Oryctolagus cuniculus: one gene and its partners. The protein of the gene in region 3 interacts with the protein of the main gene of each other region in a biochemical or structural test. Links are inferred from orthologs where the notes say so. Each region holds a gene or a part of one and is shown on either strand. Other genes may lie near its edges. The genes, in order: TOR1AIP1, TOR1AIP2 and TOR1A.

Region 1 (3,642 bases), on a different chromosome or scaffold from region 3:
AACGGGAGGGAAGAATGGTTATCTTAGAATTGTACCTATGAAATACATGAAATTGTTCTCTTTACAACCATTTTTTAAAAGAAAAGATGGACTATAGTGTCAAAAATGATGAAGAGAGCAGCTGGAAGAGTGAAATGTTGAGAAGATATACTAAAATAGAGATCGATTCTTTATATGTTTTAGAAAAGTGCTCACTGCATCAGGCTGGGGGGGGGGGGGAGTCAACACGAGGTAACAGGTGCTTAGCCGGCCTACCAGGTGCCCAGCAGGGGAGGAGAAACAAAATTAACACAAGTCCCTAAGTTACTATTTAGTCAATGTGTTAGGGCCCTCGCCTTCAACAAGTCTCTAATCTTCGGAGAGAGAGAGGCTAACAGAGGTGGCAGACGGTCTTGGGTGTCTATACCCGAGACCAAGAAGTCTTCAAAGGCGTCAGCCGACTGTTGACAGATACGCGACGACCCGGCAGCCGGCCCGCTGACCTGGGCTGACCTAGGCTGACCCTCGGCCTCTGTCTGCATCACAGGGCCCGTGCGCACCTCACAGATGCCTCAGCTTCCCCTGCCCGCGCCTTGGCGGCCGGGCGTGGGCGCGAGGGCCGGGCTTCGCGGGGCTGACCACACTCATGTGCCCCACGCTCACGGGCCACGAGGACACCGTGGGGACTGACCCACACTGACTGTGCCCCACGCGGACACCGAGGGGACTGACCACACTCCTGTGCCCCACGCTCGCGGACACCGTGGGTTCTGACCACACTCCTGTGCCCCACGCTCGCGGGCACCGTGGGGACTGACCACACTCCTGTGCTCCACGCTCGCGGGCCACGCCGACACCGAGGGGGCTGACCCACATTCATGTGCCCCACGCTCACGGGCCACGAGGACACCGTGGGGACTGACCCACACTGACTGTGCCCCACGCGGACACCGAGGGGACTGACCACACTCCTGTGCCCCACGCTCGCGGGCACCGAGGGGACTGACCACACTCCTGTGCCCCACGCTCGCGGGCCACGCGGACACCGTGGGGACTGACCACACTCCTGTGCCCCACGCTCGCGGGCCACGCGGACACCGTGGGGACTGACCACACTCCTGTGCCCCACGCTCGCGGGCCGCGCGGACACCGTGTGGACTGACCACACTCCTGTGCCCCACGCTCGCGGGCCGCGCGGACACCGTGGGGACTGACCACACTCCTGTGCCCCACGCTCGCGGGCCGCGCGGACACCGTGGGGGCTGACCACACTCCTGTGCCGCACGCTCGCGGGCCACGCGGACACACGCCCCCTGCCCAGCGGCCGCCGAGGGGGCAGCCCGGGTCCTCACTTCCATCTCAGTGCAAGCACTTGGGGCGGGGTCTCCACTCAGCCACCGCACTCTCCCGCGAAGCGCCCCTTCTCCGTCCCCCACCTCCCGTCCCTCCCTCCCCACGCGGATGGAGGAGGGGAACGGACTAGAGCGTTAGATCCGATCCCGACTCCTCGGGGCACGAAAGGAAATGGAAGTGGCTCCGCCAGAACCCATCAGCGGGAACTGAAACGAAAGCGAGCCGGAGGAGCGCCCCGCCCGGGAGGAGACCCCCACGCCCCTGAAGCGATGGCCAGGGACGCGCAGAGCTCGCCGGCCCCGCGCAGGGGGTCCGCACGACCCCCTCGCCCTTCTCCCCGACCCGCGGACCGAGGGGGCCCCAAGGCGCGCGCCCGCCCCGCCGGCCCCTCCGGCCCGGGAGGAGACCCCCACCCCCCTGAAGCGATGGCCAGGGACGCGCAGAGCTCGCCGGCCCCGCGCAGGGGGCCCGCACGACCCCCTCGCCCCGTCTCCCCGACCCGCGGGCCGAGGGGGCCCCATGGCGCGCGCCCGCCCCGCCGGCGGCGGCACCGTTCCCTCCGCCGCGCGCACCTTCAGAGGACTGAGAGTCTCGCAGCCCTCTCCGCGTCGTAATCGGAGACGCCTGGGCCGGGGGCTGCGGGGAATGCTGCTGCTGCTGCAGCTGGCGGGTCGCCCTTCGCGTCTTCATCTCCCCGGCGTCCCGGGGTCGCGGCGGCCTCCGCTGCCGAGACCGGAGGTAGTAGGCGCTTTCTCTCAATTCCTCTTTCCCAGAACCGGGCCGGAACTCTTCTGACGGGACTCGCCTTCCCGCCGGAGACCTTTCTTTGGCCACCCGGGGCTCGAAGTCGCCGTACACTTCTGGCGGCTCTTCGGAAAACCTCACTTCCCGTCGGCCCTGGCGCGACGGAAGCGTTCCGTGCGCAGGCGCGTCACCGCCGCCGCCATTTTGCGGGGCGAGCCGAGGCCGTCCCTCCCGAAGAGGGGCCCTGGGCGTGACGTACAGCCCCCACCCCTCCCGCGCCAGCTCCGCCCGCCGCCCCTCGCCCGCCATGGTTGTTGACGTAGCTCGAGTGGATTGCGAAGATGGCTCTGCGGTCCCGAGAGTCTCCCGCCGGCGGTGGCGATGGCGCCTCTTGGGGGTGGGGGGGTGTCGAGCGGTGGTCGCGGTGGTCAGGGAGGCAGCTGAGAGTCGCCGGGGCCGCCGCCTGCGTCGTCGCTGCTGTGCCGCGAAGCTGCCCCTGGGCCCATGGTGTGTCCTGCGGGCTGTGCTAGAGGCAGTGCCTGGCTGGGTCAGCTGCTCGGAGGGTCACTCCCGCCTCTTGGCTGCAGGCACCAAAGAGGAGGAGAAGGGGGAGGAAGACGTCGCTGTCCTGGGCCGCGAGGGAGGGAGCGGCGGGGCGAAGGAGCCGCGGCCGGGCCGGGCCGACTTGCAAGCGCCAGTGCAAGGGTCCTCGCGCCCCGCCTGCTGCGCACTTTTTCTGGAACCCCTTCCCCCACTTTTTTTTTTTTGATTGACAGCTACCTGGCTGTGCCCCCACGACGGTGAGAGGATCAGATACTTTTTGCCTAGGGCATCTGTTCAGGGCGAGTTTTAGTTTCAAACCCCTAATGAAGAAGGCTACCCAGGGCTAAACGCAAAACACCTGCTGGACAGGTGCGACATGTTGGCGTTCTCGCTGGGTGGGTTTCCGTCGGCGAAGCGTGCTGGTAGCAGACGTGCGCCTGCTCCTGGCTTTGTTAGGGAGGCTGTTGGCGCTGCCTGTGTGCCGTGAGAACCGAACGCCTTCTTAGTAACGTTGCGATCCATTTGATGCTGGGAGTGACTTGTGCACTTGACTGATTTCTGACAAAAATACTGGAAAGTACTGGCACTTGGTGATACCTGGCTTTTATTTATGTGTTAAGTAAGTACTGCTTTCTCTGTGAGGTGGCTTTTGCTTTACTCATTACCACGTAATAATGAAAGCTCTTTTAACAGGTGTACTACAATTATTAAAAGATGTAAATTTTATAGGGTTACTAAGGTTCATATGATGAGCATTAATGCATACATTAAGAGGCTTATTAAAACATGTACCGGTACAGGTGACTACGGACTTCTATATAGGCTTGTAAAACGTAGATTTGGGGGGCCTGTTAAAGAGGAGAGGTTCTGTGTCCTGACCCATCAGAGGTGAGATTCGCAGATTACTGAGTAATCAGTACATCTTACTTTGTCATTAAAACGGGAGGTTTTCCAAGATACGAATGATGAGAACCTCACAGTAACTAACACTAGCCCATGTACTGGCGTAGAATTTTCCCCAGA
Region 2 (3,642 bases), on a different chromosome or scaffold from region 3:
AAAATACAGAATCTCTAAGACATAAATTTTTACAAATAACATGATATGTTCTGAATTTATAATAATCCTCAGCAGAAAACAAAATTAGCATTATGTTGACAATAGTTGAAGATGGATATTGAGAACATAAGGAATGTTATACTGGCCTACTTTATAGATTTAAAAACTTCCATGGTACAGTCCAGCATGGTGGCATAGTGGGCTAAGCCTCCACCTATGGCACGGGCATCCCATATGGGTGCTCGTCCATGTCCCAGCTGCTCCTCTTTCCATCCAGCTCTCTGCTAAAGGCCTAGAAAAGCACTGGAAAATGGCTCAAGTGCTTTGCCCCTGCACCCTTGTGTGAGACCCAGAAGCAGCTCCTGGCTCCTGGCTTCAGATCAGTTAGTGCAGCTTTGGCCACTGCAGCCATTTGGGGAGTGAACCAGCACATGGAAGACCTCTCTGACACTCCATCTCTCTTTAACTCTGCTGCTCTCAGACGAACAAATATATTTTTAAAAAATAAAATTTCATTTTTTTAATTATTGTTTATTTGAAACTCAGAATTACACAGAGAGTGGAAAGGCAGAGAGAGAGAGAGAGAGAGAGAGAGAGAGAGAGAGAGAGAGATGCCCTCCATCCGATGGTTCACTTCCCAGCTAGCCACACTGCTGGAGCTGGGTCCATCCGAAGCCAGGAGCCAGGAGCTGCTTCCGGGTCTCCCACAAGGTGCAGGGCCCCAAGGGCTTGCGCCATCTCCTGCTGCTTTCCCAGGCCACAGCAGACAGCTGGATGGGAAGCAGAGCACCCGGGCCTCAATCCGGCACCCATAAGGGATGCCAGCGCTCCAGGCCAGGGCGTTAACCCGCTGTGCCACAGCACTGGCCCCAAAAAGAAAACTTCCAGAGTAAAAGATTTTAAATAAAAATGTCCACTTTCCCTTCTGAAAAATCTACTTGGATTATTTTGACCCTCTCATACATTCCTATAGGATGAAGAACTTAAGTTCCAGCTTTACCCATAACTAGTAACATTCCCTCCAGCTTTATTTCACAACTCTAAGGATTGTCTGTCATCTCCTTTTAAAGATGCAGTGTATTTGCCGATATCAGGGCTGTACTGTTGAAGTCTCCAGAACATTTGTCTGCTCTATAATTAGGATCTGGCACTGTGGCTAAATTCAGTCGATATGAAAGAACAAGGCTAATCTAACAAATTAATCCACTGAGTGTGATTTCACTTCAGACCTCCAGGTTTCGGTCCCAGAGCCCCTCTTTCGGCCCAGCCCTAGTTTCCTGTAGCACAAACCCCAGTACTGGCCTAACTAGCATAGCAAGTAAAGCTGCCACCTGCAGTGCTGGCATCCCACAGGGGCCCTGGTTCCAGTCCTGGCTGCTCCACTTCTGATCCAGCTCTCTGCTATGGTTGGAAAACCAGCAGAAGATGGCCCAAGTCCTTGGGGCCCTGCAACCGTGTGGGAGACCCAGAAGAAGCTCCTGGCTTCGGCCTGGTTCAGCCCTGACTGTTGAGACCTTCTGGAAAGAGAGCCTGCAGACAGGAATCACTCTCTCCCTGTCTCTCCCTCTCTAACTCTGACTTTCAAATATATAAATAAAATTTTTTAAAGATTTGTTTATTTATTTGAAAGTCAGAGTTACACAGAGAGTGGAGAGGCAGAGAGAGAGAGAGGGAGAGAGAAAGAGAGAGAGGTCTTCCATCTGCTGGTTCACTCCCCTGATGGCCGCAATGGCCAGAGCTGTGCTGATCCGAAGCCAGGAGCCAGGAGCTTCTTCTGGGTCTCCCACATGGGTGCAGGGGCCCAGGGACTTGGGCCATCCTCTACTGCCTTCCCAGGCCACAGCAGAGAGCTGGATCAGAAGAGGAGCAGCCGGGACTTGAAACGGCACCCATATGGGATATGGCCACTGCAGGTGGCGGCTTTACCCACCACACAGTGCCGGCCCCATGAATAAATCTTTAACGAAGTATATTCCTAGAGTTGATCTATGTGCTTATTGCCAGAGGTACACGATGAGTGCAAAGGACACAGCTCTGCTCCCTCTCCAGTTACGTCTACTCTGGAGATGAACGAATGACAGCCCTACCGGAGCAGCCAGGATCTGACCCCCGCGCCCCGTATCAGAGGGGATCTGGGCCAGGCTCAAGGGCCTTCATCTGTGAGACACCCAAGTTCTCGGAGAAGCCCTGACCTGTGCTGCATCCTCCGTAACAGCACCACACCCCTGGATGCTCCTGCGTAGATTCTTACCTGCTGCGGGCTGTCGCCTCCTCAACGCGTCCCGGCTGTCCAGACCTGCGCTGCGAGGACCAGGACCGTGGGCCTCCTGGGAGGCTGCGGCAGGCGCCCCCAAAGCAGCCGCAGCTCCGTCACTCGCTCCCTCGGGGAGGGCCACAGAGCTGCTCCCCGGCTGTGCACCTGCTCTCCCTACCTCGTCGCTTGGAGAACAGTTGGGATCCAGACCCAGGGGTTCTCCCCCCAGACTTCCCCAAGGCACCTGATGTCCTTGTTCTCCATCCGGGACACCGGGCTTGCTCTCAGGTTCTGCTGTAGCCTTGGGATGGTCTCCAAAGTCTGCTGGACCCGGGCCCTCTGCTGTGCCGCCTGCGTCTGCACTTTCTGGACCCTCTTGGTGGTCTTTGTCAAGATCAGAGGCAGGAGGCAGGGCCTGAGTCTCTGCAGGGGGACTTGCTGTGACTGCGGTCTCCTGCGCGTGAGAATCCACTGACGGCTCACTTTCCAAATCCTTTGGAGAGTCTACCGGGATAAAAATTCACAATTTTTATTGGAGAAAATGTCTCCCTATTTTTATATTCCATCAAGGTCTTTGATGGACAACTATATTTGTGGTTTATAAGGCATCTTCCTAAATATTATTTCTCTGGGCTCTCAATAAAGATAACACTAATGTAAAACAATTTCAAGTGATCAAACCAACTCTTGGTAGTATTAAATATATCCCCTTCCGTAACAAAAGGCAATGACCATCAGCGGCAGTAAAACTATTTGTGTAAAAGGTCAATCCAGACCGAAAACCGAAACCACTGATCAACCTTAGTAGCACAAAAACAGGAAAAGCCAGATAGCATCAGTAGCAAGGACACGATTCCTCCTGTGAGGTGTTCTTGCTCAACAACTGGACTGCAATCGCATCATCTTTTAGGACTGACCACCAGTTCCCCAGAAACGCAGGGTAGAGGAACGTGTCTAATCAAGCTTCAGGAATGCAACCAGCAGACCCCGAATGTGGGAAAGTCCAGGAACAAGCCTCTGCTGGGCTGGGGCTGCGGACGCTGCGGGCACCTGCACTCCCTCTGGGCGCTGGTTTGGGTCCCAGCTCCCCTGTTTGCCATCCAGCTCCCTGCTCTTGTGCCTGGGGTGGGGGTAGCCCTGGTGCTTGGGCCCTGCACTCAAACAGCAGAGCCAGAAGCAGCTCCTGGCTCCCGGTTGCAGCCATCTGGTGAGTGAACTAGCAGATGGAAGATCACTCTCCCTTTCTGTCTCTGCCTCTCTGTAACTCTGCCCGCCTTTCAAATAAATCACTAAATCTTAAAAAAAAAAAAAAAAAGACAACTTTTGTTTCTTTAGTAAAGACAAGAAATAGAAACGAATGACAGAAAAGGGTAAAAAAGGCGGGTGAT
Region 3 (4,096 bases):
AGAAGCCGAGCAGATGGTGACCAAGGATGGCTGTCGGGGAGGTGACCGCTGGGCCCCCGCTGTCTCAGCACTGCCCACGTGTCCGTTTCGTCCCATCTCCTTTCAGTAACCTTGGGGGGAGAAACTGCGGCTGTCCCTAGTGTGCCGGTGAGGATGAGGCTCGGGCAGACGGGCGCCCTGTCCCGTGTCCCCGGTGCCAGAACCGGAGCTTGTGTTGCTCGCTGCTTCTCTCATGAATGTCATCCGTACCTTTGGCCTTGAACCCCGGGAGGTGGAGAGCCGGCAGGACGGGTGCCGACTCACAGACTAAATCCTGCACGTCCCCAATGGGGGCCGGCGGCCCAGAGCCTGCGCCGTGCCAGCTTGCAAAGCCACTCTGGGGGACCCGCCTGGGAATCAGGCAGACCGGCTGGGCTGCTGCTCCGGTCACAGGCAGGTGCCAGATACCCCCAGGCTTACTGAGCACCTGCTAGGTTCACACAGCCAGTGGGGAGAAAGACATTCCCACCCTCACCCAGCTTCCCCTTTTTTATTATTATTATTATTTAAGATTTATTTGAGAGGCAGAGAAAGAGAGAGAGAGGTTTTCCATCCGCTGGTTCACTCCCCAGATGGCTGCAACAGCCAGAGCTGGGCTGATCCGAAGCCAGGAGCTTCCTCCAGGTCTCCCACGCGGGTGCAGGGGCCCAAGCACCTGGGCCATCCTCCACTGCTTTCCCAGGCCACAGCATAGAGCTGGATCGGTAGTGGAGCAGCTGGGACTTGAACCAGCGCCCGTAAGGGATGCTGGCACTGCAGGCAGCGGCTTTACCCGCTACACCACAGCACCGGCCCCCAGTTTACATCTTAATGTCAGTAAAGCCTGTCAGATGGTGGGAGATAACATGTGTGCCCCCCCCCCCACAGGTGTATGTATGTTCTCTTCTTGCCCCCAGCGGGGAGAAGAAACTAAGGAAGGATCTGGGGGTGCTGGGACACGCATAAGCTGGATCTGAGTGGACAGCTCCCTGGGAGGGTGGGAGGGAGTGGGCCGACGAGGCCCTGCAGTGGGCACAGGCCAGGAGTGGCAGCTGCTCCGGGAGGAAGTGGAGGTGAGCAGGGCTGAGAGCGGGGGCGCAGGTTACGGAGGCCTTGGGTTTGATTCCAGGTGGGAGAGGCGCTGAGGCTTCCGAGCAGGTGGTGGCTCGGCTGGCGCTGGGCTGTGCCGGCTGCCGGGGGCGCAGACCGAAGGCAGCAGGGGCCAGGAGACCGGCGCGGTAGCTGTCGGGTGGGGCGAGGTGCTGGGATTCTGGGGTCTTGGAGGTCGAAGTGGGGACTCCCTCGGGGCTGTGTGGGGGAGGAGTGTGGCTTCAGCGGCTGGAAAGGGACACTGGTGCGGGGCAGGTCAGCCGCGTGAGGGTGTGTAGGGCCTCCAGGCAGGGGCGCGAGCAGGAGGTTGGCCGCTGTGGTTTGTCGGGGAGGCTGCGCGGTGGGGGTGCCCCTTTGGGCATCAGCAGTAGGTGCTTGTGCAGCCATGGGCTGAGACCCCAGGTGTTACTTTTTAAAAGATTTCATGTCTTTATTTGAAAGGGTTACAGAGAGGGAGGGTGAGATAGAGGTCTTCCATCCGCTGGTTCACTCCTCAGATGGCCGCAACGGGCAGAGCTGAGCCAGGCCAAAGCCAGGAGTTCCATCCGGGTCTCACACGTACGTGCAGGGACCCATCTCTGGGCCATCTTCACTGCTTTTCCCTGGGAGCTGGTGCCCGTTTGGGATGCCAGCGTTGCGGCTTTACCCGCCACGCCACAGCGCCAGCCCTGAGGTCCCTTGTTCTGCGAAGCTTCCTGTCTTGGCTGGTCTGGTCCTTGTCACTCAGACTGCGTCCGGGGGACACCCCCCCCCCCCCCAGCCAGCCCTCGCTGCGTCTACACTGCTCACCTGGCCCACTCTCCAGTGTCCCCAGCACCGCCTGAACCTGTGAATTCACTGGTTTGTCCCCTGTCTCTGCACCCAGAAGGGGAGACCCATGCGGGCAGCGTCCACCCTGGCTGGCTCTCTGCCCCTTTCCCAGGGCCGAGTGGGAGTCTGCACGTGGGAGGCCTTCCAGCGAGCTGGAGGGGGCAGGCAGCGTCCCAGCCCTCACCGCTCCGTGTCAGTTCTTTCCCAGGGCCACAGGTGAGCCCCGCCCGGCCAGTCCCGCCTTTGGTCGGCACCAGTTGTGTGCACAGCAGTGCTGGTTGGGGGAGCAGGGTCAGAGGACGCTGAAGCGAAACGGCTCAGGGGGAGAAAGCCGTGGGGTGCTGGGCGCCCCGTGGCCGACAAGGAGGGAGCGAGTGTTGGGTCAGGGTTCCAGGAGCCTGGAGGGGGACTGGGCAGGTGCAGCGCCAGCCCCTGTGGGAGGGGGACACACGGCACGGCCCCTGCCCAGAGGGACCAGGTGCACTTGTCTGGCCCCTCCCACTGCTGGGAGCCGATGGAGGCCCTGGACGAAAGGGCGTGGCCGGCCCAGCCCTTCCCTGGGAACCCGCCCCTCCTTTCACTGTCTTGAAACTCTGCCAGCCTGAGAACCAGCTTCCTCCCGGCCGCCTCTGCTGGCCCAGGCCTCCTGGGCCGCGAGCCCCTCTTCACCGGTGGGCAGTCGCATGCGTGGAGCCCCCCTGGGCCGCGAGCCCCTCTTCACCCGGTGGGCGGTCGCGCCCGTGGAGCCCCCCAGGCCCCCTGGGCCGCGAGCCCCTCTTCACCCGGTGGGCGGTCGCGCCCGTGGAGCCCCCCAGGCCCCCTGGGCCGCGAGCCCCTCTTCACCCGGTGGGCGGTCGCGCCCGTGGAGCCCCCAGGCCCCCTGGGCTGCGAGCCCCCTGCAGGTGGCCAGGCGCTCCCTGGGGCCGGTGCGAGGGGCACAGAGCGGCCGGGTGTCGGACAGGACAGACAGACGGCGGAGGGTCGGTGGGGACAGCACCTTCTGCTCCTCGCAGGTGGCTTCTGGCACAGCAGCCTGATCGACCGCAACCTCATCGACTACTTCGTCCCCTTCCTGCCGCTGGAGTACAAGCACGTGAAGATGTGCATCCGGGTGGAGATGCGCGCCCGGGGCTACGCGGTGGACGAGGACGTGGTGAGCAGAGTGGCCGAGGAGATGACCTTCTTCCCCAAGGACGAGAGGGTCTACTCGGACAAGGGCTGCAAGACTGTGTTCACCAAGTTGGATTACTACTACGACGACTGACAGCTGACGGCTTCGAGTGAAGGAGGAACAGCCCCGCCCGGGAACCGGACAAACCTCGTCTACACTGCTCTGAGCCGCAGGCTGTCGCCGCTCAGGGACGGCGGACATGGACGCGAGGCCCTCGCGCCCAGCTCCCACAAGCGATCATGATTTTTTTTAAATTATATTTTAATTTCAAGTGTTTCTGTTTCAAGGAAGGATGAATGTTTTACTGAAAATGTGGTAACTTTATTTAAAATGGTTTTTAACATTATGAGAAACTTTTTAGAATGTAAGCTGTTGGCTTTTATTTTTTTTTTAATTATTCATTTATTTGAAAGATGGAGTTACAGAGGGAGAGACAGAGGCAGGGAGATCTCCCATCTGCTGGTTCGCTCGCCAAATGGTCACAATGGCTGGGGCTGGGCCAGGTCAAAGCCAGGAACCTGGAACTCCATCCAGGACTTCACGTGCGTGCAGAGGCCCAAGAACCTGGGCCATCCTCTGCTACATTCCCAGGTGTATTAACAGGGAGCTGGATCAGAAGTGGGACGGCTAGGGTTTATTTATTTGACAGAGTCATAGACAATGAGAGAGAGACAGAGAAAGGTCTTCCTTCCGTTGGTCCATCCCCCCCCCCCAATGGCCGCTACGGCCGGCACTGCGCCAATTCGAGCCAGGAGCCAGGCACTTCCTCCTGGTCTCCCATGGGGTGCAGGGCCCAAGCACTTGGGCCATCCTCCACTGCCTTCCCGGGCCACAGCAGAGAGCTGGACTGGAAGAGGCGCGACCGGGACAGAATCCTGCGCCCATATGGGATGCCAGTGCCAGAGGTGGAGGATTAACCAAGTAAGCCACGGCGCCGGCCCATATTTATTTATTTTTAAAAAGATTTTATTTGAGAGGGAGGGAGGG

The links.
Region 1: the proteins of TOR1A (region 3) and TOR1AIP1 form a complex in vitro, tested with the Homo sapiens proteins (2 studies listed by BioGRID and IntAct). The link is inferred for Oryctolagus cuniculus from reciprocal best matches to the Homo sapiens genes TOR1A and TOR1AIP1.
Region 2: the proteins of TOR1A (region 3) and TOR1AIP2 form a complex in vitro, tested with the Homo sapiens proteins (4 studies listed by BioGRID and IntAct, with this or other methods). The link is inferred for Oryctolagus cuniculus from reciprocal best matches to the Homo sapiens genes TOR1A and TOR1AIP2.

What each region holds. Positions count from the first base shown.
Region 1 is NC_091438.1:8,030,262-8,033,903, reverse strand, and holds part of TOR1AIP1 (torsin-1A-interacting protein 1), read right to left. Parts: 5' UTR 2,386-3,642; coding exon 1,905-2,385; intron 630-1,904; exon of another isoform or gene 522-629; coding exon of another isoform or gene 407-521; intron 1-406. UniProt on the Homo sapiens protein: Required for nuclear membrane integrity. Induces TOR1A and TOR1B ATPase activity and is required for their location on the nuclear membrane. Binds to A- and B-type lamins. Possible role in membrane attachment and assembly of the nuclear lamina.
Region 2 is NC_091438.1:7,999,597-8,003,238, forward strand, and holds part of TOR1AIP2 (torsin-1A-interacting protein 2), read right to left. Parts: intron 2,759-3,642; coding exon 2,252-2,758; intron 1-2,251. UniProt on the Homo sapiens protein: Required for endoplasmic reticulum integrity. Regulates the distribution of TOR1A between the endoplasmic reticulum and the nuclear envelope as well as induces TOR1A, TOR1B and TOR3A ATPase activity.
Region 3 is NC_091432.1:232,659,145-232,663,240, reverse strand, and holds the end of TOR1A (torsin-1A), read left to right. Parts: intron 1-2,951; coding exon 2,952-3,202; 3' UTR 3,203-3,477; downstream 3,478-4,096. UniProt on the Homo sapiens protein: Protein with chaperone functions important for the control of protein folding, processing, stability and localization as well as for the reduction of misfolded protein aggregates.